4 linked regions of the Schizosaccharomyces pombe genome follow. The gene in region 2 interacts genetically with the main gene of each other region. Each region holds a gene or a part of one and is shown on either strand. Other genes may lie near its edges. The genes, in order: zfs1, cdc7, hsp90 and gef2.

Region 1 (7,017 bases), 260 kb from region 2:
GTCCTGAAATTTTTTTAAATGCCGTTTCTGATAAACTGGTTAATACCGCAGTTTTATTTATTAATATTGAGCTGCTTTCTGAGTTTTATTACCAATTTCCACGTGAACTGGATCAGCGTCTCATCCATTCTTTGAGTTCTGAACAGTTGAATGCATTTGTCAATGAAAATCCTCGTCTCAAGTCACAGCTACAGTTGCAGCATAAGCGGCAATGTTTGGAATTGGCTCTGCAGAAGATCAATTCATTAGTTATCTTGGAACAGCAAGCCGATAGCGATTAAATAACGAGTAAAGTAGTCCGAGTTTAATGAATTTTTTTAACTAACTTTCCAAAAATGCTTGTATGTGTTACTATGTATAGCCTGGTAGTTTTCTCGTGAATAAAATTGTTTGTAAGCAGTACAGAATTGCGTTACAAATTTTTGATGCATATTGCAAATCTATGTTTATGAAAAGTGCACAACATTCAAATAACTACTTAAATTTTTGCAGTAACGTTACTGTTATTCAAATAATACATAGGCTTCGCTCATCAAATCTCCCTGATTGCATAAATCATTTTCGTAATAAGATTGGGTATTTTAAGAAACTCCCTTGATTCGAATTATAACAGTATATTACAGATACCACACAAATCTAATAAAACCCCGATTCATGCGTATCGCATTGCTAGACGAAGTAAACAAGATTCGAATTTAATACTATAAATATATATTGTCCAATCTTCTCATAACTCTTTAAATCGCCATTCTGCAAAAAGCTAAAGGTACATGATTTGCAAAAATAAAAACAGTACCCTGACATATGACAGAGTAACTAACTCATGATCTTCTTTAATTTTTTTCTCTTATAAATTCTATCTTGACCAATAAGGTCATCAAATAAATAAAGAATAAAGTGTGAACATGACTGGCAAACTCAAACCTTGCGATAAAACCATAAATAAAAACAAGGTAAAGGCGATTGCAAAAGAAAAGCTCACATAATGTTACAGAAGAACAATATAAATAATAACCGTATAAGAAAACCAAGGAGGATAGGAAAGTAAGCGTCATAATAAATTAATCTCACCCAGATTGCATAACAACAAAGAACAAAAGTCATCTTATACAAGCTGATGTGATATCAAGGAGATTGCTTAATAGTTGCACTTTTTTGAGCATTGGATTCATCATGCAAAAAGCAGCATCGCAATCCGTAAGGACAATAACCATACATCATGAAAGATCGGCAACGCTCGCTTTTGTATTTTGGGTGACGAGGAGGTTCTTTCAGTTCCTGGTTGCCATGCGCAAATTGACATTTAGAGCCATAACGGCAAGTTCCACTAATTTGCCAATTCTTGCAAGGCTCGGTCTTATATAATGCGCGCTTGCCGTTGGGAGCTACCCCATTACTACTGCCAGAACCATGAGGATGGCTAGCTGAACCCTTAGCTTGGCGAAAATCTCCTGCAGCTGATGGTTGAGGAACGAAAGGTTTGGAAGCCTCAGTAAGAGGACTATTACCCGAAGGTGAAAATTGCTTTGATAAATTGGAAGGAGCATTGCGAATTGAGGCATTCGATGCTGTAGGCTTGATGGGAATAACCCCCGCTGAATGCGATTGTCTAACTAACGACGGTTTAGCAACAGAGTTGCGGATGTTTGTCATTGATTTCGATTGAACGCACAGCTTAGGTTTTCTAGACATGGTAGATTCCGGTTGACCATGAACAAAAGGAAACGAAGTTTGAGAGTTCTCATCGACGGATACAGGGACGCCAGCCATGTTCAAAGACATGGCCAGTGATTTGGAATCATCGTGGAGATTGGCAAGGCCGGAAAAATCAAGACTACCACTACCAGTGCTACTACGAGAAGGAAGACTCTCCAAGGATGATATAGGTGAAGGATGATTGCTTGTGTTTCCATGAGGAGAACTACCAGAATGTAAATAGCTAGTAGCGTTGGAAGAAAGTAATGAAGGTGTCCATGCGTATCCCTGTGGGTTAGAAGAAGAATTGTGATGCCATGGCCAACCGTCCATTTCAGGAGAAACAGATAAACTTGAATCCAATGGACGAAGCTGGGGCATGACTGAAGAAGGGAAAACTTCATCAGAGGCGAGAAGACTAGATGTCTTTAAACTGCCCAAATTTGTAGATGGCTTGTGAAGTAAAGATGAGGAGTTGGCGTAGGAGTCAAGGAATGATGGACTTATTAAACTGGGTCCTGCATTAACAGACGTAGTAGACTGAGATAGTTTTGAGTTGACAAGGGGATCACTCTTATAATTGTAGGGGGGCCATTGGCGAAAAGCCAGAGGTACTTGAGGTCGAGACATAGGAGAATAAACCATGGTTAAAAGAATAAAAAACAGACACGCAATAAATTAATGAAGTTCACTAGAAAAAAGTGATACAATAGAAGATTAGTTATAAACGAACAAAGAAGTTGTAAAATGAATCAAAAAAAGGTTGCGCAGAATAACTTAAAAAATTCCAGTAAAAAACTTGTGTTAAATAGAATTATGGAATCAGGAACTTGAAAAAAACGTCAACCTTCAAAATAGAATTACAGGGTAATCACCGAAAGTAATATGCAGAAAAACGAGAGAAACGTAGAGTTAAAAAGAAAACACGCAAATTTAAGATGAAAATCAATAGTATAGAGACGCTGTTTTTTCAGAAGTCGAACAGAAAAGATACAAGAAAACGGAGAGAAACCACACAATGATATAAGGAAAGATTTTGAGAAGGAAGTAAAAGTATAGAAGACAAAAGTTTAATAGATGGATGTATTGTGTTTGTGACCCAAAGCAATCCTTTTCAAAAAACAGTCGTCAAACAAAGAAAAAATCCGAGTTGAATGCAAATTTTAGGGAATAAAATTTAAACCAAAAGAACAAAAACGCCTTTTTTTTCTCTGAAGTAAGTGAATACAACAGATGAACATAAAACACAAATCTCAAAACACAACAAAATGAGACTAATCGTAAATCCTTAATGTATAAAAAAACCTAATAAGGGAACGCTTTTAATATACGAAGCACAAAAAAAAGGGAATTTGCGGATATAAAGGGAAAACGTTAAAGTTAGTGCCAATGTGCAAGGTGAGCATCAAACAGGAGTTTTATCACTGATATAGGATAAAAGCGAGATTTGAAATGAAAAAAGAGTGAGAATTGATGAGGAGAGTAATCAGTAGAAAGAAATAAGAAATTGAAACAGAAAAAAAAATTTCAAAATCGAAAGATGGGGTGTTTTTTCAGCAAAAGATAATATCTTGTCCAAAGAAATATAGGGATTATCAACCAAACCGACTATTGCTGCAAAGATACAAAAGTGGGATGGAGAAAAGAACAGAGCCCAATTTAAAGTATTTTAAATAATTTCTCTTTTAGAGTACTTTAAAAACGTCGAAAGAAATGGCGAATCAAAAGAATAAATCAATATCAGATAAGGATTGCCACAAAAAGCTTTAAGGGGATATGCGAAAGTTTCAACAAATAAAACGCAAATATACTAAGATGTTAATATATCTGTTACGTTAAACAGTAATTGAGAGCGTTTAGGAGCTCTTTTGCTTCGATATCAGAAAAGAGAAATAAAATTGAAAAGAGAATGGTTTTCCAACAAAGAAAAAAACCCAGAGCTTGACTCAGAATGAAGAAGAGAAAACAAATCTAACAGAGACAAGAAAACCGGTTGAAAGGAATAGACTAAAACAAACAGCTACGAAAACAACTTTCAATCCGAGATAAATGTTTTGTCAACGTAAAACGGAATTTTTTCACACTGCAGAAAAAAAGTATTCAACGGAAAGAACAAACGGTATCTCAGGCAAGAAATTGAGAAATTGAGAAAAAGGATGAGATGCCGATATTCAAACAGTGATGAATTTGAAAAAAACAGACACACACACGGACACACAAAGAAAGATTCAGCAAAGTCAAAAGGCTTTCAACTATTCTGGAGGAAAGTGTTGTGGTGGTAAGTCGGTAAGTTAGAGGTCGATGGTAATAGAAGTTGGTTGAACGATTACGTTGTTGTTTCGTCCTGTCCTGTCTGGTCCCTGACCTGTTATGTTGATGCAGAGAAGAAGAAAAAGGGCGGCTAAAAGCAAATAACACAAACTAAGAATAACGAAATTCGCAACAGCTCGTAAAAGTGTCCGAAAAAGAAAAGACGGAAAATTCCGGTATATATAGAAAAGGATTAATCGGTGGAAAAAAAATGAAGGATTGATGGCTAGATGGAATACACAGTGCGTGTGTACGTTTTAAAAAAAACCCAAAAAAAATTGCAAAAGGAGAAAAGGGAAAGCTAAATTGTAAACGGGTAAGAAGGAAAGCAATATAGCACGCGATTGACAACCGTTCCAACAAGAAAAATTTTTCCAAAGAGAAAAAGCCGCGCACTAATCGTAATCGAGTTAGCCGTAGGAAATAAAAATAAATAAATCCCAAATAAGTAGGTGCTTGGTAATATAGAAAAGTGGTTCCCTCTAATGATGAAATAGTGCAATCAAGGAAGGAAACGTAGATATTAAAATGGAACAAACTTGCACGTGTTTTTGAAGGAAAGGAAGAATTCTAGTAATGTCAAGTCACTTAGCTTTGCTGTTGATACAACACAAGCCGATTAGCAAAATATTGTAGAAGAGAAGCAGAAAGTCGTGATAAGAGAAAAAGAGAAAATCGACAGAATAAAAGAAAATTGTCAAAAACCACAATTGTATACGATTAATCAATTTACAGCACGTAGCAGGTCCGGTCGAAAAGGAGGAGCAAGGCTAGGAAGCCAGCAGTTTCAATGTCGTGTCGGGCAAGAAGGAAGGAAAAGTGAGTAAAGTAAAGTAAAAGAGAGCACGACAATAGTGTAGTACACAGTATCCAAATATGCTAGGACGATAACAATAGTGTTTCGATACGCAACGACCCCGGTACAGAAATTGAGGTTATTTCAAGGTTACACGCAATCAATATATATATGGGACAACAAAAGAGATGAAATTTTTTTTTGTTTAAAACACAAAGAAACCAATTATCAATGTGTTAAGATTAGTTAATTGTGTTCGAGCATCAATGCCACTTTATACTACGTAAAGTCAACGACCTAGAAGATGTCGAAAGAGCAAGTTGATGGACTCAACAAGCCCTGTGCTTACAAGTTGTTTAAAAGTGGGGAATGTCGGTAAAATCAGTGGTATGTGCAAAAGACACTCAGTGCGGATGTTGTGGCGCAGTACACTACAGTGTTGAAATGGAAAGATGGCAAACGTGAGCAAGGACAGATGGAGGAGCTTTCAAAAAAAGAAAAATTTACAAAGTAAATTAGAAAGTCATAAAACAACTCCGAGAATAAAATTATCGGTAGAATTACAATAGGGAAAGGGGAAGCATTGCATAGAATGGCGGTGTATTGGTTCGAAAAGTGCGTGCTCTAAAGGAATGCGATTTAAAAAAAGTAGTACAGTATTAGTTGTTTTAGGTAAAGACGAGGGAATTGGAATAAATTTTTTTGATGCAGGCTATTTTTTAATTTATGAGCAGTTCTATATTCTATATGAAACAAAATGTATTGGTATTTTATTTTATTTTATTTTATTTTATTTTATTTTATTTTATTTTTACACATATTATCAAAAAGAATAGTTTTTCGTTTTTGAACAAATTTTTTTCTAATTTCCTTGGTGTAGATGCATGCATGGCAATAGCATGTTTGTTATCCCTTCTACACGCAATCTACTGTGGGCACAATCCCCAGTGTTTGTTTGGTAATTGTTCTTCCATTCATTGGAGAGTATTGGCGATAAATTGTAGCTGATTGGGATAATGAACGGAAGACACGTACTTACCATTGCTCAAAAGGCCCAGAAAGTTTACCTCCACACTGGGGCGTGTTCAAATCTACATTGTAAAGTAAGATAGCGGGATGGTCTTTGAGCACGATAGGATCCGGAAGCATGCATACGAAGCTGGAGTTCTCGACTGGACAGCTCATTTTTACTACAGACAAATGTGGTCATACGGAGGACTAATAAAAATTACGGAAGGCGTTGTTATGCATCGGCAATGCTTTTGCTTAGAGTAGCAGCGGGAGATGGAGATGGCAAAACGAGTTGCAAGAACCATCCATCAAAAAGACATAAACAAACGTAAAAAAGACAAGAGTAAGGATATCTAAATAAAAGTTGAAAAATGGAATAAATGAATAAAGTACAAATGAAATTGATGAATAATTTGAAATATAAAAGCTATTATTGACAGTATCTGAGTGATGATTGAATTTTGGCAAACACGACGGAGAATACGAATTACGGCATGATACAAAAGATAGTCTACCTAATTTTGGGTTTCAAAACTATTTTTGTTTAAAAAAAATTTTTATTAAATTATTTATTGATATTTTCTTTATTTTTTTTATTTTTTTTTATTTTGGCAAAGGGAGAACGAGGAGGGGTTAAGGGGTCGGTCAGGTGTTCAGCTAGGAGGAATTGCGCTATGTAAAAGAACAAAGGGAAGTTGATCTTGCTAGTAAAACAATATTAAAATATCAAATTATAATAACAATGATAATACTACTCAAATCGAGAAAACGGCCGATTCGCTTTCTTTAGCATGTTGCTTGGGTTACAGTGGGTCGAGGAAAAGCAAAGAATTGAAAGTACCCCATCCATCATACATACCCCTTTATTCTCGGTAAAATGATTTAACAGAAAACAGAAAAACAGAGATTTCTAGACCTAAGTGTCTTCATTTTAAACATATAGGCGTTGCTAGTGAAGCAAATCCATCGTATCATGATGAATTCATCAAAACCGGCAATCACAAATTGTCATTGTACGAAACACGTAAAACTGGTAAATTCATGCCACATGCGTATCGACCGAATGAACTGACTGATGATGGTGAAAACGTACACTCAATTCATATACGGAAGTTTAGTCAATAATGTGTTGTGTAACGGAATAATCTGTTATTTATTATACTGTAAGCTACGCAGTTTGGTATCTGATTTAAGGATACGTAGAA
Region 2 (6,692 bases):
CATATATGTCGATGTCGTTAAGAACATAAAGACATTTTGTATCATCATTAAATCCCATACCACCAAAGAATATTAATTTGTTATTCCATAAATCCCCTGAATGGAAATACCGTGGTATCGGCTTTTGATTTCCTTGATATTCAACTTGCTTCCAGGAACAAGTGTTAAGATCAACTACATACATATCATTAACAAGCTGCGCATTTAATGCATCGCGTCCTCCATATACAAAAGCCTCGTCTCCATATTTTATAACTGACTCCCCAATCAGCGGTTTTGGGACATTATTTGAAGATAAACTAAATGTAGAAGTAAAAATGTTTGTTGAATTTCTCAAAGATATATTCCTTTTTACTTCTGACATAGATATAAACTGTTTAGCAACTCGACGTTAATAAGAAATATCAAAAAAGTGATTTTTCCTTCCACATAAAAATTAATAATTACTGAAATGCAAACAGTCAAAAAAGATTTATGCAATAAACAAAGCAGCAAATTAATAGCCAAAAATGAGAAGCATAAAAATCATTGTTGTCCTTTTGTTTTAGTGCATATTTCTTCCTGTATTGCACTATCGTAGCGTTAACTGATATAGTGAAGTTAACTTTTATGCACACCTAGATTTTAAAATTCGAAGCACTTGAATGAATAAATATAAATATACACTGTGATAAGCATATTATAAACCTTTCTCTTAACGTTTCTAAGATTCATCAATATAGATTCGGTAAATAAATAGTCTTCATTGCGGTACTCAATTAGATTGTATTTCAGGTATAAACACAACTGGTAACGTACTTACACATGGAATGATAATATATTAATATTAAAATTAGCAAAACTTTCGTTTAAAAAATATTGATTCCATAATCCCAACCTTATTTATTAATCATTAAGCCATAAATACAGAAATATCATAAACAAGTAATATAGTCGTGCACTGGGAAATGCGTTTAATAGTGTTCACTGCGTTAATGGCTGCTTTGGTTGCCATCTAGGTGGAGGCATATGCGGTTTCGAAATGGGGGATTTGTGCTCATTGATGGGACCCTGTGGTACCTTCAGGTATTTCAGCAGGTCTTTTGCTAGTTCTTTAACAAGCACAGAATCACTTGTTTGGTTCAAATTTGCAACCACATCTGGTAAACCACAATGCGCAATATAAGCAACACTTTGGCTACTAGCTTCACACATTGATTTCATAATTTGAAATATGTTTAGGACCACAATCGGCTTGGTCCCCTTATGAGTTAACTTTTCTTTAAATTTCTGGAATATTATAGGCTGGCCATAAGAGGCTGCCAATCTTGGGGAAATTTGACAAACCCTGCCCAAAGTATCTAGCATTCTGTTTGAGGAAGCTGATTGAGAAATACAGAACACCTTTAACACTAATTGTACGTTTCTCTTCTCTGCCAAAACACGTTGTACTTCACGGAGTTCAAACTGCAACCAAGATGCGATCGTATCAAATACCGCAGATTGCCAATTAAGATCTGATAATAACGAGAGAAAAAAATCTAAGCATTTATTTTGCCAAAGATAAATTCTCGACACTGGACCAGCCTGTGGCAAAGCTAATAATATCGGCAGCGCAAACTCCTTAAACAGTCTGTCTTTAATAATCACCTCTTGCAATAATGGAATAGCACCAGAAATAACAGCCTCTTCTTGCGATTTCTTATCTAGCTTACACACATTGAATAAAGCGGCCAAAGCTTCGCTTCTAATTTCTTTTCGTCCTTTCTCAATTTTGCTGTCACCGAGAATATGTGTCAAAAGAGGTATTATATGAACTTTCCTAAGAAGCGACAAAGATGAAGGAACCATTGAAAGTTGCTTGAAAAACTGTAAGGTAATCGCCATATCAGAATGCGGCAGATAAAGCAGAATACGCAATATCCTTCGAAGAGCACTTTCGCAAAGAAGTGATTCCTTAACATAATTATCAGCCTGAGATAAAGCCAATAAAATTTCACATATACGTGTTAATGACATTCTTGAAGAATCATCGTCAGTAGCCAAAGCTTTCAGCATGGCTTTGGTCAAGGGCTCTAGTGAATCATTTACAACCATCGTACAGATATCATTTTTTGGAATGTAATCCTGTTGTCTCAGTAATTTCCATATTCCTTCTACGCCAACAAAAACAAAGTCACGGTTCGTTCCATAGTCCTCTTTAATAAATAATAAAAGCGAATTCAGACCATTTGAGCTCAAAAACATTTGTAATGTCAAAGCAGAAGTTCTATACATCTGTTGAATAAAGATAGCACTTTCATATCTAAACTCAAAAGAGTGTTCACGATTAGAGAATGACAACATAAGCGGTAAACCTCCAGCAAAGCAAACTTTTTGTAAAGTTGTGTGATCATCGAATGCAACCTAACGTTAGTAAAATCACGCATTAAATATCCTTACAGTGTTAATGAGCTTTAATAACAGCAATTGAACATCAGGCGTTTTTATTTCGCGCAATGTCTCTAAAAGTGGAAGGATACCATGCGCTTGTATTATCTCTCGTTTTAGAGAAAGATCTTCACTAAGTATAGAAGCCTATTGTCAGTTAAATTATCAATATAAAAATATGCACTTACTATTTGCGAAACAGTTGTATCCTTCGATCCGATATTCTTGTCACGTAGTGAGCCTAACAGACTGGAAAGTAAGGAAGCTAGATGCGTTCTCTTATCTAAAGCAATGTTGTTTTCAATATCCAAGTTTTCTAAGTTTGTTTCAATAGAGTCAAAGATATCCGATTCTTCCCCATCCTCATTTTCTTCATTATTCCACGAGCCATAACATTTGTTTAAAACCAAAGTCCCCAGTCCAGTCTCCTTTCTCAATCCTTGAACTTTGATTGAGGATGTAGGGAAAATATCAGTAAATTCACTATCTCTGGGTGTCTCGACAAATTTTTCAATTCCGTCTGGTATATTCTCTTTAAACTCTAGATAATTAGTTATATGTTAGTATCAGATACTTACCAGTTGACAAGTATCTTTTATGTTGCGGAGTTTTTTGATGATCTATTGACCGGTTGAGAGCGGGCTAAAAAAAAGGTTAATTATTTATTTAAAATCATTAAAAGCTCTAGAAAATCGAGCTGCATTATTTACCTTAGAGGGATCAAATTGGGCTTTGAGAGGAGTACTCAACGGTGATGCATTAAAGTTGTTTGATTCAGAGATTTGATCTGAATTAAAAGCATGGCGAGACTTCGAAGGGGATGATGTTATGGAGCTGGAATTATTTTTTCCTTTAAAGTTACTGCAAAAATCCATAAAATGCTCAGATTTCTTTAAAACATCGTCACTGATTTTAAGGGTTCCTTGAAATTCATTGTCCCAGTTATCATGATCTAAAAATGTTAGAGTAGTTAAAAAGTATCATAAAGCTACCTGGGGACTCGGCAATTGGTGTTTTTGGAGACTCAGGCATGTGATAAGAAGACTGCCTGCCAGAATGAAGAGTCGGATTGATTCTGTTGGAAGTAGGCTCGATAATAGCTGTCAAAGTGCTTTCTTTCACTCTTTCATTATATTTTTGAACCTCGTCTATAGCGTCAGAAAATTTAGAGGAGGTTTGGTTCATTATCACCCAAGGATGTTTAAGAAGTTTTCTGGTCTTAATTCGTAAATTTGGGTCCTTTTGGAAACATTGCATTAAAAAACTTTTAGCAGCCGAAGAAATATTTGAAGGCAAGGGAGGATGTTCATCTTTCACCATCCGAAAAAGAGCGGACGTAGGATCTAAATCATAATAGGGAGGATTTCCATCTAACAGTTCAATAACTGTGCAGCCAACACTCCAAATATCTGAGGCTGTTGTGGCGCCTACAAGCTCTATAACCTCGGGAGCCACTATATAAATTGTTAGTAATGTTATAACTATACGCTTAGAAAAGGCTTACTCCAATAGGGGCTTCCAACAACACTATGATCCTCTAAAGCATTAATTTTCGTCGCAACCCCGAAATCTGCTAACTTGATAGTGCCATCTTTAGTAGTAAGTATATTGGCACCCTTAATATCACGATGGATAACACCCTGATTATGTAGATAAAGTAGCCCTTGTAATACTTGAAACGTATATAAGGCCACTAGGTTTTCTGGAATCTTTCCAAAGTTTTTACAAATTGAGCGCAACGATCCGTTTTCGCAATATCTATATATCGTTAACTTGAAAACAATTTTTTAAAGAAAATCACGTACTCCAGAATAATGCATAGAGAATCGTTCGTCTGATAAGATCCCCTATATTTAACAATATTTGGATGCTACCACGTTTAGTATTTGGCGACCATTATAAACGAATGAGTAACATACGTCCAAATTTTTAAGCAAATCAATCTCCATCTAAAAATTGTTAGAGAAAAATAGTTGAGATCCCTTCATACCTTAATGACGGAAAGATCAGATTTTAGCATTTTGGATAGTTTAACTTTTTTTACAGCCACCGTTTCTCCATTCTTTATATTTAGACCACGGTATACTGCACCGAAGGCACCCTTGCCCAAGCAATCCCCAAGAGTCTGAATATGTTATTGAAAATCCAATGGCTATTAACATTAAATACTAGCATACGATGGAAGATGCTTGGATATTGTGCATGACTATTGAATAAGTTACAAATTAAAAATTGAATTTATTTGTAATTTTGAATGAAAAGACAATTTGGTTTTGTTTACGATGTAGCATTTGCTGCGTTTGAAGAAGTAAGGACTTTATAGTGTACATACACATTTAGTACGGTACCTGAACTTGCATGTTATAAACTCAAAAGAAGTAAATAGTAATAATTAAGCTATTTATAAAATCATTAATAAACAAAGATTCTCGTATAAAAGAAAAAGCGTATTATACAGACATATAAAAAATATTGGCAAGGATGGAACTAATCCGTTGGTTAAGTAATGTCAGTGGAAACACCATGTACATAGGAAGAATGAGTTCATTTTAGCTTGGAAAGTAAAGTAGAAAAGACAGTGATTTAAACTACGTTAAACAAGTGTCTGATGGTTATGAATCCGAGGAATCAAACTTTTCCTTGTAATGGGTTTAGAAGCATCAAAATCAACTTCCTGTAAACTCTTATTTTCATGATCGGTAGAGAAGTTACTGCAACAATCCAGTTTCCGTACCCATGCAGTACCTAAAATACTATCCAACGACGGCCGATTCTGGGAATCAGGATTCAGTAAACTTAGTATAATCTTCTTAGCACCTTCAGGTATATATCTGAGGGGCTGCAATGTAGGTATTTGTTTAATGACTTCGGTTTGGAAACTGGATTCATCAGTTGAAGAAATACCACAAGTATCTGTAAGGATTGACATATACTTTGAGTAGTAAAGATCAGTTTTCACGGAAGTTTTAAATGGAAAGTATCCAGTAAACAGAACTTTAAGCAAAATACCACATGACCACCTATCTGCTAAAAGACCACAATATTCTATCAATTGAACTATTAGTACGTCGTTTTTGAAATAGGATAGAGCTCGTCTTGCTACACAATTTATACACATAAGACTTACCATTTTCATGAAATGCTTCTGGTGCTAGATATGCCAAACTTCCAACAGCACCCGATACGAAACGAATGGATTCGTTATCACCAGGATTACCCACAATTTCGCTGGTACCAAAATCGGTGAGCTTTAACAATCCATCCCTTCCGATTAAGATGTTTTCCGGCTTTAAATCTCGGTGCGCAATACGTTGAGATTGCAAGTAAGCTACTGCTTGAAGAATTTGCTTTAGATAACAACATTTGTCTTCTAAGGTCAAAACTTTTTCTTCAATTTGCTTAAATAAATCGCCTTGAGGACAGTACTCTTGAACCAAACAAAACCCAGCGGATTTATTAAATACGCTTGTCAAAGTCACACAAGGGCAGATAACTTTCAGAATATTAGGATGGTCCAATTTTGGTTGGATTGACCATTCCCTTAAAAAATAAACCATTGTATTCAATCTTTTTTTATGCGATGTTTTCGTTTTCCGATATACTTTGGCAGCATAGTATATCTTTGCGTCGGTGATTTTATCTCTGTGAGTTACAACCTTGATTGTAGAGGTGGCCCCTTTAGCTATTGATTTTAGATGCTGAAAGTCTAAGCGAAATCTTATTTCGGGTAATATACGCTTCAGTGAAGGATCTAATCCAATTGCGAAGTCAGACATTCCAATAAACGAAGGTTGAATTGAATGAACGGAAAGTAAGCTAGTATTACTGTCTAAGTATTCATTTTCTAACCATGGTGCAGTAATTGTACTTGGCTTTATAACGACGGAAGACTTCTTGGTTGTTGATTTAGAAACATTTATTGAAAAAAATTGGAAGAACTCTTTAGGAAATCTCCCAAAAATATTTTCAATCGAAAGACTATTCTTATTCTCTGAATTCCTTTGAATTGCTGAATTGTCCACGAAAATTGTCCCCTGGCGAAAAAAAGGATAATTAGTCATTAGTGACAAGCCGCTGAAGCTAAGAAGCCTAGTTACGACTTCAAATTGATTGATTTTTTATGTACTTCTTCTTTATTTTCTTACTAAAAAAAGAGTGTTTTCAGAACAACCTCATCATTTATTCTGTTTAGATAAAGAGTTACGTGTTAGCAACCTCAAAATTGCATAGTTGTAATCATAACGTCTTTGAAAGAAACGAAATTTCCAAAATCATATGCTCAC
Region 3 (4,880 bases), on a different chromosome or scaffold from region 2:
ATTTTACGCTCGTACACCAGTCATGGTGTATTCTATTACGAGAAATTCGTTGATGCTATTGCTGGGTCAAAAGATAGCAATTGAGTTAAGAGCAGCCAGATATGTTTCACATTCTTCCCTCTAATACTTTATCTTTTTAACCTGAGCCATTTCCCTTAGACGAATTTTCCTCTTCTCTTTTAACTTTTTATGAAAGCATTTGATACATTTATGTTCGTTGTGACCTATACTTTATGTGTCTCAATACTTAGCTACTCTCTGCGACTTTACTATTATTTGCAGTGTTTAGTGAGTTAGAGCTTAGGCTTAATGTCATTAACCATATTTTCATTCGAGGGTTCAATTAATGTATGAATAAATCTATATTAGCCCAGCATACCTATGTTCCTCATCAAAATTATCCTACCTTGTAAAACAGCTCTCACATGACTAGAAAAAAATAACTTTTAAGCACCAACTTGTACTTGTTAGTAGTATAAACTACATTATTCGAAAACAAAATTTGATGTACTAATAAGTATCCATAAACTTTAATATTACTAATCAACATTCCATATTATAACAACTTCCAAACAACCTGTAATCTAGTGTGTATTAAGAAAAATCGTGTAGAAAGAAATTTTTGAATGACAACAGACACTAGAATCGTTAACAATGTATAGGATAACTTGCTTTAATCCAAGAAAAACATTATATGCATAAATTTTGGAAAGACACATTAGATGCATTTGATTTAATCGACTTCCTCCATCTTGCTCTCAGCATTGTTTTCAGCAGCGACGGATTCGGTAGAAATTTCCTCAATAGGAGCCTCCTCCTCTTCGTCAATGCTAAGACCAAGAGAAATAAGACGGTTGATACGTTGAGCATAAGCACTAGGGTCATCAAGAGTGAAACCAGAGGACAACAAGGCGGTCTCATACAAAATAGTAGCAAGATCCTTCACAGAGCGGTCTTCGGCACCATTCTCCTCAACCTTCTTCTTGAGCTCAGCAATGATGGGAGACTTGGGGTTAATCTCAAAAGTCTTGCGGCTAGACATATAGGCACTCATAGAAGTATCACGAAGGGCTTGAGCCTTCATGATACGTTCCATGTTAGCAGACCAACCATATTGACCGGTAGTTAACAAGCAAGGAGAACCAACAATCTTGTTAGAAACAACAACCTTTTCAACCTTGTCACCCAAAATGGTCTTAAGTTGCTTAGCAAACTCCTCATACTCTTTTTCGAGCTTCTCGCGAGCAGCCTTCTCCTCGTCAGTCTCTTCCAACTCAAGACCATCCTTAGTAATGTTAACCAATTTCTTGCCCTCGAATTCCTTGAGTTGAGTGACAGCGTACTCATCAATGGGGTCAACCATGAAGAGAACATCAAACTTCTTGGCACGGAAGATTTCCAAGAAGGGAGAGTTCTCAACGGCTTGCTTAGATTCACCAGTGATGAAATAAATGTTCTTTTGATGTTCGGGCATCTTAGTGATGTAGTCCTCAAGACTGATAAGATCATCAGGGGAGTTAAGGGAGTTGTAACGCAAAAGCTTGGCTAAAGCAGGGCGGTTAGCAGCATCCTCATGGATACCAAGCTTCAAATTCTTGCTGAAAGCATCGTAGAAAGTCTTGAAGTTCTCCTTGTCCTCGGCAATCTCGTTGAACATATCAAGACAACGACGGACAAGGTTCTTACGAATAACCTTCATGATCTTGTTTTGTTGAAGCATCTCACGAGACAAGTTCAAGGGCAAGTCCTCAGAATCAACAACACCCTTAATGAAACCCAACCATTCAGGAATCAACTCTTCACAGTCGTCGGTAATGAAAACACGGCGAACATAGAGCTTGATGTTGTTCTTCTTACGCTTGGCCTCAAAAAGGTCCATAGGAGCGCGGCGGGGGACGAAAAGAATGGCACGGAATTCCAATTGACCTTCAACGCTGAAGTGCTTGACGGCCAAATGGTCTTCCCAGTCGTTAGTCAAAGACTTGTAGAAAGAGGCATACTCTTCCTTGGTAACTTCACTGGGGTTGCGAGTCCAAATGGGCTTGGTCTTGTTCAACTCCTCAGTCTCAGTGGTGGTCTCCTTGACCTTCTTGGTCTTCTTCTCCTTCTTCTCAGATTCATCATCAACCTCCTCAATCTTAGGAGCCTTATCGTCTTCTTCATTCTTAACTTCTTCGGTCTCTTCTTCTTCAGGGACCTCCTTCTCAACCTCACGGGTAACAACTAATTGAATGGGGTAAGAGATGAACTCACTATGTTTCTTGACGGTATCTTTGATAGTCTTTTCCTCGAGGTATTGAAGTTGGTCTTCTTTCATGAAGAGACGAATCTCGGTACCACGTAACAAGCGAGGTCCATCGGTGTCCAAAGTGACGGTGAAGCTACCACCAGCAGAGGATTCCCAGATGTATTGCTCATCGTCATTATGCTTACTTACGACTTGGACCTTGTCGGCAACCAAGTATGCAGAGTAGAAACCAACACCGAATTGACCAATCATGGAGATATCAGCACCAGAAGCAGCAGCTTCCATAAACTGCTTAGTACCAGACTTGGCGATAACACCAAGGTTGTTGATAAGGTCATTCTTGGTCATACCAATACCGGTATCGCGAATGCTAAGGATTTTGTTCTCCTTGTCAGGAGTAATGCGAATGAAAAGATCCTTCTCAGCGTCTAAGGCATGAGGATCGGAAAGGCTTTGATAACGAATTTTGTCCAAGGCATCGGAAGCGTTGGAAATAAGCTCACGAAGGAAAATTTCCTTGTTAGAATAAACAGTGTTGATGATTAAAGACATCAACTGGCTGATTTCAGCCTCAAACTTGAAAGTTTCTGTGTTCGACATTTTGTAATGAAATCAAATTGAAAACGAAAACAAAGAAAAATGAAGGAATTTATAGATAAAACCGGTTAAGTCGTACAGTTCGTAATATAAAGGGTAAAATAAGTAATTAAATATACTTTTATTACTTGAAAAGGGGTTTTCTTCTCAGCTATAACGTGATTTTAAATATGTTCAAACGTATGAACAATCTTTTAAGCGTTCAACAAAGGAACTTAGTGGGAAATGGGTTATAAATAACTTGAGAGCTAGATGGCGGAGGGTACGTGTATGGTGGTTTATATTCTGTAAACAAAGCAACTCGAACATTCCAAAACCCTAACCCTGGTTTTTGGTGGAAGGACATGGAACTCAAAGAATAGTGCGGATGCAACGAAGTGTGGTATTTGGATTGCGATAGAAGGTTGGGGTGAGAAAAAAAATTTCTCACTAAAGTGTATCTAGAAGATGCTAGAGGGAAGATAGTGTATTGCGTAAAATTACGAACAACCAATATTCGGAAACATCCTTACACTGTGATAAGCTCATAAGGTTTTACTGTAGCGAAAGGTTTTTTCGTTAAGCATCGTTGAAGGGTGATAAAATCGGCATCTCGCTAACGTTCACTGTTCATAACCGACCGTTTTTAGGTTAGCTAAACGAGATCGATCATTTAAAGTGTTTAACTGTATCTTATCTAGATGATGGGAACTTCATAAATTCCAAGTGAGTGATATTTCTTCAAATTTCTTTTGCACGCAATTAGAATACATATTAAAAATAATGTTCCGAAAAAGAGGCCTACAGCACCCCGGATTCCCATGTTGTCTCCAACCATAGTACTAACGAGGCCCTCAGACGCTTAACTGCAGTGATCGGACGGGAACTGGTGTTTTCGCCTAGGTATGGCCGTAGACATTTGTTACATAAATTTATAGAATATATAATAAAGAACAGAATATGTAATATTTCTCAAAATCGAACAGAATTTAGCAAATACCATTTCATAAACTTGTACTGTATTTGTTTACATCGTTAAACACCCAATCCTTCGCATTTGCATAAAACTTACTTGACAAGACGAAACGCATCCGATACTACTTCGGTATGTGCGTCGCTTGCATAAATTTCGCTACAGCCATGTCACCTATCGAATACAAATTATTATTGAAACATTCCAGCAGTTTTTACAGTACTCAAATTTTAGTAAAAAGGCTATTAATAATATCTCAGCAATAAATTCTTTGTATATAAATAAATCAAAAGTGATTCTCCGCCATAAATTTTCAAAGGTAATTAACCGTTCATTTAAGGACTCTTTTGAAACTTCCAAATTATTTACAGCTGCAATTAGTCTATATTATTATACAATCCTTAGCAAGAGAGACTAGCCTTGCCTTCTCTCAACAAATACTTGGCCTCCCTTTAAAAGATATCATGAGTCGGATTCCGCGATTTCATAATCTACTTGTATAGTTAGAGAGCAACCCATGCATGGGACGACACTTCTGTTATTTTCCAGGTCGTCTTCCGTGACAACATATCCTCCTAAATCGCCGCATCGGCAAGGATAATAATAGGAGCCGTTGTCGAGTTCTTCAAATTCACTTAGATCAACGATAGAGTAGTAATGCGAGCTTTCTGTTTAGATTAATAAAAAAACCTTCAAAACAAAATTACCCTCTTCTTGTTTTATTTGATATTGCTGACGATCTTTTTCACTTGAAAGGACTTGATATGCTTCTTTCACTTGATCAATAGTATACACCACAGAGGGCTTTTCTTTACACTTATCCGGGTGAAACAGTAGTAACGCTTTTCTATAAGCTTCTTTTATTTCATCGTCTGTGTAAGTTTTTCCATCTTTGAGGTTTAGAACCGAATAGTGGTTCATGAGGATACAGCACACTTATGTCGTTCTGCTGGTATATGCATATACATAGTTAGGGTGCCCAATTGATTTGTCATTACTTTGATGTAGGAGAGCAATGATGAAACAATATGTGCTCAAATGTTTAATTAAAGCTACATCTTTAAAAATTTTTAAAGAATTATT
Region 4 (6,485 bases), on a different chromosome or scaffold from region 2:
GAAGTGCTCAATAAGTACCAAGAGACCCAGCGGCAATCTTAATATTGCCTTACTCAATTCATTGGGAAAACACTTTAAGTGTATAGCTGTTTTTTATAGCTTTCGTCGTTACCCTTTAATCTCCTTGTAATTAGCTCATGGTTTTTGTAAACAATTTGAAGCAAACTAAGTTCCATCATGAGCCTTATTCCGTCTCAATATAGGCTTGCTTTCTTTTTATCTACGCTAAATCATTATCTTATGAATTCTTATGCCGTTTTAAAAAAGGCTTTTTTCAAGTTTCTTTTATACTTAGACCTTTCTTTCTCATTCCCTTCATAACGTCAATTTCTACTTGAGTACACCATTCCGGCATATTTAAAATTATAGTATTTCCAATGGAATGTCAATGACTCTCATATGTTCTAAACTATATGCTTAGTTTTCATAACTGAAGATTTTAAACGGTGTAGCATATTCCAATTCTATACTATTTATAAAAATAAGAGAAAACTTTTTGATGAGTATTATTAACTTTCACTTACATATTGAAGGATAAAAAAAATAACTATTGATATCTAAAAAAGGAATAGTAAAACAAATAATCTAATAATCGATGTAGTATAGACTAGTTGGCTATATAAATATGTTGGTTTGACAACCTTCCTTAGCGTTTAGCTTGGATTCATACTCTTCAAGAGTCCACTTTGCGGTATCTAGTTCACATTGTTTTCTAATTAAACTGGCTTGAACTGATTGCTTTATAAGCTTAAGATCATGGTTGAAGCGATCATACAACAGAGGGATAGACTTTTTAGAATCTTCATTTAATCGAGTCATTTGAGCCAACCTTGCAAGAGTCAGATGATATTTGCGTCGTAAATCCTCGTATGCCTCTCGTTCTATTTGACCAGGTAAAATTTCCTTAGGGTGTCTTTCCGGCATTTCTTTCATGGCAATTGCTTGGAATTTCGATTCATCTAACTGTTTATCATTATTGGAATTCGCAGGGGAAACCGGAGTCGGCAATTCCTCTACTGTTCCAAAAATGCGATCACTGTGGTATGCAAGGTAATAAACAAGTTCTACAGCATTACTTCCAAACATGGAAGGAGCCAAGGCAATTGCTAGTTGTTTCGTAACAAAATCACATTGATCTTTAAGAGGAAGTCTCAAAAGCAAACTACGACGTTAGATAATAAAACCTCTGAAAAACAAGCTTGGTGACTTACTCGGAAGCAATAGAAAAAATGTTCTCAAGGATCTTTAGGCTACTCTCGGGTAAGTCTTGTAAGATTTTTTTCAAATGATAAACTGCATCAGTTGAATTGAAAGATAGATCTTCAATGTTAGTTAAAAAAAATCAAATTTGATAGCGATACATACTTAAATTTTCAACAGTATTTAACTGTTGTATGAATGAAGAAGAAAGCAAAACTCCAAATTTTCGATTGATAAAGGAGCTCAAATATTTTTGAAAGGTCGCATAAATAATATTTGGTGGGTAATGAGAGAGTAATTCTTCATTAAAAGTTTCCTTCAAAATATTATCGTACAGCTCATCCCCCTCAATCTTCTCCTTTTCAGACAGTGGATATAGTAAATTCTTTAAATCTGCTCAGTTAACGTTATGATCCAAATTGCAATATTACCTGTATGATATTTAAATCCGCCTTTGAAAGCTTCAAGATGTTCGACAGTTTTCTCAGCAGAAGCCTTCGAAGTATTATGAGTATTAAACTTCAATGATTTTTGTGAAATATTATTATGGTCCAAATTGTACATTTGCGAAGGAAGTGTAGCACAAGATTTTGATAAACCGCCTTGATTATAAAACCTGTTCAATGATAAACTGATTTTAGAAGGGCTTCCGGGCCTTCCTCCAAATGATAACCTACTTTTTCGTGGGCTGGAATTAGCAGAAAGCAAATGCTGTATAAGGTTTGAGTATAGATCCAAGCTTGAGAAATTTCTATTTGAAAAAGGGCATAGGAGAAGCCTTTTTATATTAATAAGATAATTAAGACAAGCCTCCCTAAGGTCTTCCTTAGCTATAACAGCTTCAGTAGGCAAACTGACACCTAACCAGGAATCGAAACTTAAATGAAAATCTTCGTCTTGTTGAAAAAAAGTAATGACAATATTACCGTCTTGCAAAAATTTATGCTTATCAACGTTGGCATCATTGGTGCATATGCATACTATGTCTGAGCGTTTTGATTCTTTCTCATACTCAAATCGTGAATAGTTATTAAAAAAAACCACAAAGTCATTGAGTTTTGAAAAACTAAGGCAGGAAGGCTGGCTTTTGTTCATTGAAAGTGCTTTTTGAAAAGACTGATAAAACCTATCCATAGTTCTTACATTTTCAAAATCGCAACGAAACTTCAAAATAGGATACTCATTAAAAAATGAAGGAGAAGATGCATACTTGGAAATTAAAAAAATAGTATTCTCCTCAACCATACTTCTTGTCAACTCAACCGCTTCATTCATATTTGAACCGATATATTGAGCACGCTTTTCTTTGGAATAAGAATTGCGAGGATTTTGCTTACGAAGATCCAATATAGTTGAGGCAATACTTGATTTGGAGCGTCTTTGAACAAGACAAATTCGATCATTGAATAAAATTAGAGTATAAGGTATTAAATGCAGTTGCCCGTTTTTTAGAAACTCCCTAGTCACGTCAATACAATCTATGAAATTTCGAGAGTTAGATATCATGTTTGGTGCTAAGTCAGGAATTATATGTTGTAAGCCAGCAAAAATCCTTGATCGTTCTTCGGCATCAACTGTAGGCATTTCTGCAATATTTTTTATAATCTCAACTGAGCGCACGTATGTATGTTGACATTCTCCTTCTTGTGTCAATAATATAATCTGATCTAAAAATAGTGAATATCGTGGAATCCTTTGAACTGGTTCCATAATAAGCTGACTCAAACCCACATTCATGTTTGCGTTAAGCTTTACCTGGTCATGGAATTCAACAAATTTGGGTATTTTTGAAGCCATCTTTAAAACATTACCAAAATCATTACTTTGCTCAAGGTAACGAGGATAATGTTGTGAAAAAGCGAAAAAATGAGATTCAAAACAACAAGCTAATCGAAGATCAATTTCTTCAAACTTTTTTTCGTCTATATCTTCAAAATTTAAATCACTCATGATTGCCTCAAACTCGTCAAGAAAAGCAGAATTGAGCTGAATTAATTTGTTAAGACAAGGCGGAAATAGGGTGTTTAATTCATAAAGTCCCAGCAATTTTTTCGAAGACTTGGCCAAATCCCGTAAAGGGAGTGCATAATCATTAACTAAATGGCGTAGTCTCTCAACATATGTGCTCTCTGTTTCCATCATCTCAATGAGTAAACTCTTTTTTTTTTGAATTGCAGGTATGGTTCCGGCATCTTTACTAGACGCAAAACTCGGACTCGGACTTGAAGTCTTTTTTCGTGAATCCTCAAACATTTCCCTACTTCCTATAACGGTTTTCCAATAAGAGTTAGAAGGGTCTTCCCACCAAGAGTTATCAACCTTTATGTCAAAAATAGCATCTACCACGAATTCGCGTACACCATTCGGCTCGCCAAGAGAATAAAGCTCACGAGTGAGAGAAGATGACTGGAAAACGTTTATTGTATCAAAAATATAGGAAGCATACTCAGGTTCAATGACTGACTCTCGCCAATTTTCGCCTGTATGTAAACATACAGATTCCACGCAAAGAAACTCATATACGCATGCAGCAGCTTCCTTATGCATACTAGCAATTTGCCATTCTAGGTCCAAAGTTTGCGCAAAAGCATCCAACTTCGAAGAGAAAGGGTAACATATAGAAAACGTGTCAGGTCCCAATTTCGATAAAGCATAAGCTGCTAAAATATGACCATCAACTTTGGCAAATGAAATCAATACCAAACCCATATTTGGATGATTGAAGGTACAAAATACATGATCTTGCTCAAACAAAGGATTCATTTGTAACAGATCCCTAAAAACCCATAGACCTCCAAATTGAATGCTAATTGCTAACAGTTCAGCACGCGAACCCATCGTGCCGACGTCCATGGTAAAAATAAATGAAAAAAGTAAGATAAAGGTCAATCGCGTAGACAAAAATATGAAACTTAACTTCGCCAAATATACGTAAACAAGTAAGCTTTTTTTCAACAACCGCAGTTAAATGTGATGGCTTGATAACCTGTAAAACTTGTAGAAAGAAAAGAAATAGAGGTAGCAAAATCCCTTAAACAGTAAAACAAATAGTATATTGACCAGTCAAGCAAAGCTGAAGAAAAGTTTTAAGCAAAGAAGCAATGGTTCCCAAGAAAAAGAATTATTAAATAAATTAAACCTTCAAGACTTTTTACAAAAGATCGATAGAACGGAACTTGATAGAAATTGTTTTTATGCAACTCAAAAATTATTAATGATTATAAGAAATCTCAATTCAATGTTTATTAGTGAAAGTACTTCCAGTTATACAGCTACAAAAGAAAAAGGAATAGACCCAATTCAGGGACTATATCCTAATCTCACTTGAAGCTTCCGAACCTGCTTCTCCGATGTGGTTGTTTGAATTAGGTAGTTTTACTCCATTTCTCCATTCACCGATAGGACATATGGTAATTTTCTGCAGCGAAAATCCGCTACAGCTGCTAGTCTTTTACCATATTATTAATTTAATCTTTTAGTGATCATTTTCTTGTTTTCTAACAATAAAGTAAAATAGCAACCCAAAGTCAAATCTGTCATTTATTGAGATCGGGAATTACTTAATAGACAAAAAAAGAGACATTAAATGGAAGCGAATGAAGAAAGATGCATTTTATTAAAATACCCTCATCCAAGCTCTGATATTTCTTCTGAATATTTATTGTTGGAACTAGACGACGATTTATTAAAGACTCTGGAAGAAAATCCTGAAGAAGAGTATGTGTTTCCTTGTGTATAAATAACCTGAAGTTGAATCATTACTTTTTTATTTTTTATATCGCTATTTGACAACTTATGATCTAACATCGATAATAGGATTGTCTTTAAATCAGATTTTGATAAAAAGGCTTCAGTACTCTGTACTTCAGATAAAACGTATGCTGTGCGTCAAGTGGTTCAATCAAACTCGTATTTGCTTTTTGATGAGCTCAGTCCTACCGACTGGGTATTAAATGACACATGTTATTCATTTTTAGAAGTTGAACGGATTTATGGGTTTATTTTTTCAGACGACAAAATTTCTTATTGGGACGAAGATTCTGTGGAATTGGTATGCATTTTATTGAATAGTTAGCCTTTCACTAACAGTCTCAACAGAAGCCCATTTCACTTACAAAAGATCAATTTATACGATCTGTTCCTGCTAGCAGAAATGAAGTCGATTCATTCTTGCAGAAAAACTTTTTCATGGTAAAGAATGAATTCTTGTACCGATTATCACCTTCTTACATATGTTCAATTATTGACTGGATATTTGTTATAGCCCAACAGTTACACATAGACTTTGCAAGTTTTGAGTTTAAGATTTTAAAAAAGCCAGCTATGGATGACGAATTTGATTGGGATTCAGTAATTTGTGTTCTTGAAAGTATCTCTTCACCCATTAAGGACAATGTCTTACCTAAAAAATTCAATATCGATTTAGAGTTGACGACTTTTTGGTATGGGCGATTTTTGTTAGAAGGCATCAACAGTATAAGCTCCGATGAGTTCATTCAGTTATGGGATAATCGTCTTCCGTATCCTTGTAAAGGACTTCCTTCTTTGAATTTATTAAAGGTAGGGCATTTTAGTCAGCTAATGCTAAAACTCTTTAGGGTTATTATTTTCACGATACCCCAAATACGATTCAGTATTTATCAGGAGATCAGTTACCGAGAGAACCAAGTAGGCGGTTTCAATCTTTGTTTCAACTTAAGTCGAAATGGTTATATGAAGAACTTTGGAGTTTCGTTAAAGATCTTGCCTTGTCGAAATCAAGAGTTGAAGCTCTTATATTGAAATATGGGCGAAAACAAACCAGTAGGGACGGTGTTTACATTAATTCTAGAGGGACATGGTAAAACCTTATTTGGCCGGTACTATACAGGTTGAAAACTTGATTTTATTGTACATTATTTTCGACAGGATTATGAAATCAATTAAAATTTTAATCAAACTTAAGTTTTAAATATTAAGACTCTGGGTTTTATCAACAATTTCTGAAACAGATCTAGGAGCAACATCATAATGAAAGACAACGTCGTCTCCAGATCGCCAAATTCGAGCCTTAACAGTTGCCAATGTCATTTTGGGGGTAACGACGACATCTTTGCATCTAAATTGAAGGGATGATACATCCTTTCTTTGTTGGCTAAGCTTGCTATAGCTATAATCCATAATTTTCTGAGCACGAAGCATAGCACTAGCACTTAAACGAGTGTTTTCATTTACAATAAGCGGTAAACCACTTCCAGGAAAAGGCTGAAGAGTAAAATTAACAGTAGGGGCAGTTTTAGAAGGAA

The links.
Region 1: of cdc7 (region 2) and zfs1, a mutation in one rescues a mutant of the other (synthetic rescue), as found in Schizosaccharomyces pombe (one study listed by BioGRID).
Region 3: mutations in cdc7 (region 2) and hsp90 impair growth when combined (synthetic growth defect), as found in Schizosaccharomyces pombe (one study listed by BioGRID).
Region 4: of cdc7 (region 2) and gef2, a mutation in one rescues a mutant of the other (synthetic rescue), as found in Schizosaccharomyces pombe (one study listed by BioGRID).

Annotation. Positions count from the first base shown.
Region 1 is NC_003423.3:3,482,329-3,489,345, forward strand, and holds zfs1 (zinc finger protein), read right to left. Parts: upstream 5,119-7,017; 5' UTR 2,341-5,118; coding exon 1,126-2,340; 3' UTR 520-1,125; downstream 1-519. Other genes in the region: dynamin family GTPase Msp1, read left to right, coding at 1-281. UniProt on the Schizosaccharomyces pombe protein: Binds to specific AU-rich elements (ARE) in the 3'-untranslated region of target mRNAs and promotes their degradation. Binds to ARE present in the arz1 mRNA and stimulates the rate of arz1 mRNA decay.
Region 2 is NC_003423.3:3,221,818-3,228,509, forward strand, and holds cdc7 (serine/threonine protein kinase SIN pathway Cdc7), read right to left. Parts: upstream 4,689-6,692; 5' UTR 4,614-4,688; coding exon 4,587-4,613; exon of another isoform or gene 4,535-4,586; coding exon 4,400-4,534; exon of another isoform or gene 4,359-4,399; coding exon 4,329-4,358; exon of another isoform or gene 4,280-4,328; coding exon 4,215-4,279; exon of another isoform or gene 4,168-4,214; coding exon 3,914-4,167; intron 3,864-3,913; coding exon 3,402-3,863; intron 3,362-3,401; coding exon 3,120-3,361; intron 3,052-3,119; coding exon 2,988-3,051; intron 2,951-2,987; coding exon 2,598-2,950; intron 2,557-2,597; coding exon 2,422-2,556; intron 2,386-2,421; coding exon 964-2,385; 3' UTR 534-963; downstream 1-533. Other genes in the region: Ras1-Scd pathway protein Ral2, read right to left, coding at 1-364; serine/threonine protein kinase Ppk24, read right to left, coding at 5,003-5,454, 5,537-6,470. UniProt on the Schizosaccharomyces pombe protein: Protein kinase essential for cell division. Plays a key role in initiation of septum formation and cytokinesis.
Region 3 is NC_003424.3:3,888,041-3,892,920, forward strand, and holds hsp90 (Hsp90 chaperone), read right to left. Parts: upstream 3,100-4,880; 5' UTR 2,849-3,099; coding exon 734-2,848; 3' UTR 518-733; downstream 1-517. Other genes in the region: myosin II regulatory light chain Rlc1, read left to right, coding at 1-84; diphthamide biosynthesis protein Dph4, read right to left, coding at 4,260-4,465, 4,505-4,718. UniProt on the Schizosaccharomyces pombe protein: Molecular chaperone that promotes the maturation, structural maintenance and proper regulation of specific target proteins involved for instance in cell cycle control and signal transduction. Undergoes a functional cycle that is linked to its ATPase activity.
Region 4 is NC_003424.3:418,034-424,518, reverse strand, and holds gef2 (RhoGEF Gef2), read right to left. Parts: upstream 4,578-6,485; 5' UTR 4,054-4,577; coding exon 1,632-4,053; exon of another isoform or gene 1,594-1,631; coding exon 1,366-1,593; intron 1,321-1,365; coding exon 1,212-1,320; exon of another isoform or gene 1,163-1,211; coding exon 616-1,162; 3' UTR 528-615; downstream 1-527. Other genes in the region: pre9 (proteasome core particle subunit alpha 3), read left to right, coding at 1-42; Ctf18 RFC-like complex subunit Dcc1, read left to right, coding at 4,787-4,917, 5,017-5,251, 5,299-5,760, 5,799-6,044; bun107 (WD repeat-containing protein), read right to left, coding at 6,148-6,485. UniProt on the Schizosaccharomyces pombe protein: Has a role in the control of cell polarity and cytokinesis. Involved in bipolar growth and septum formation.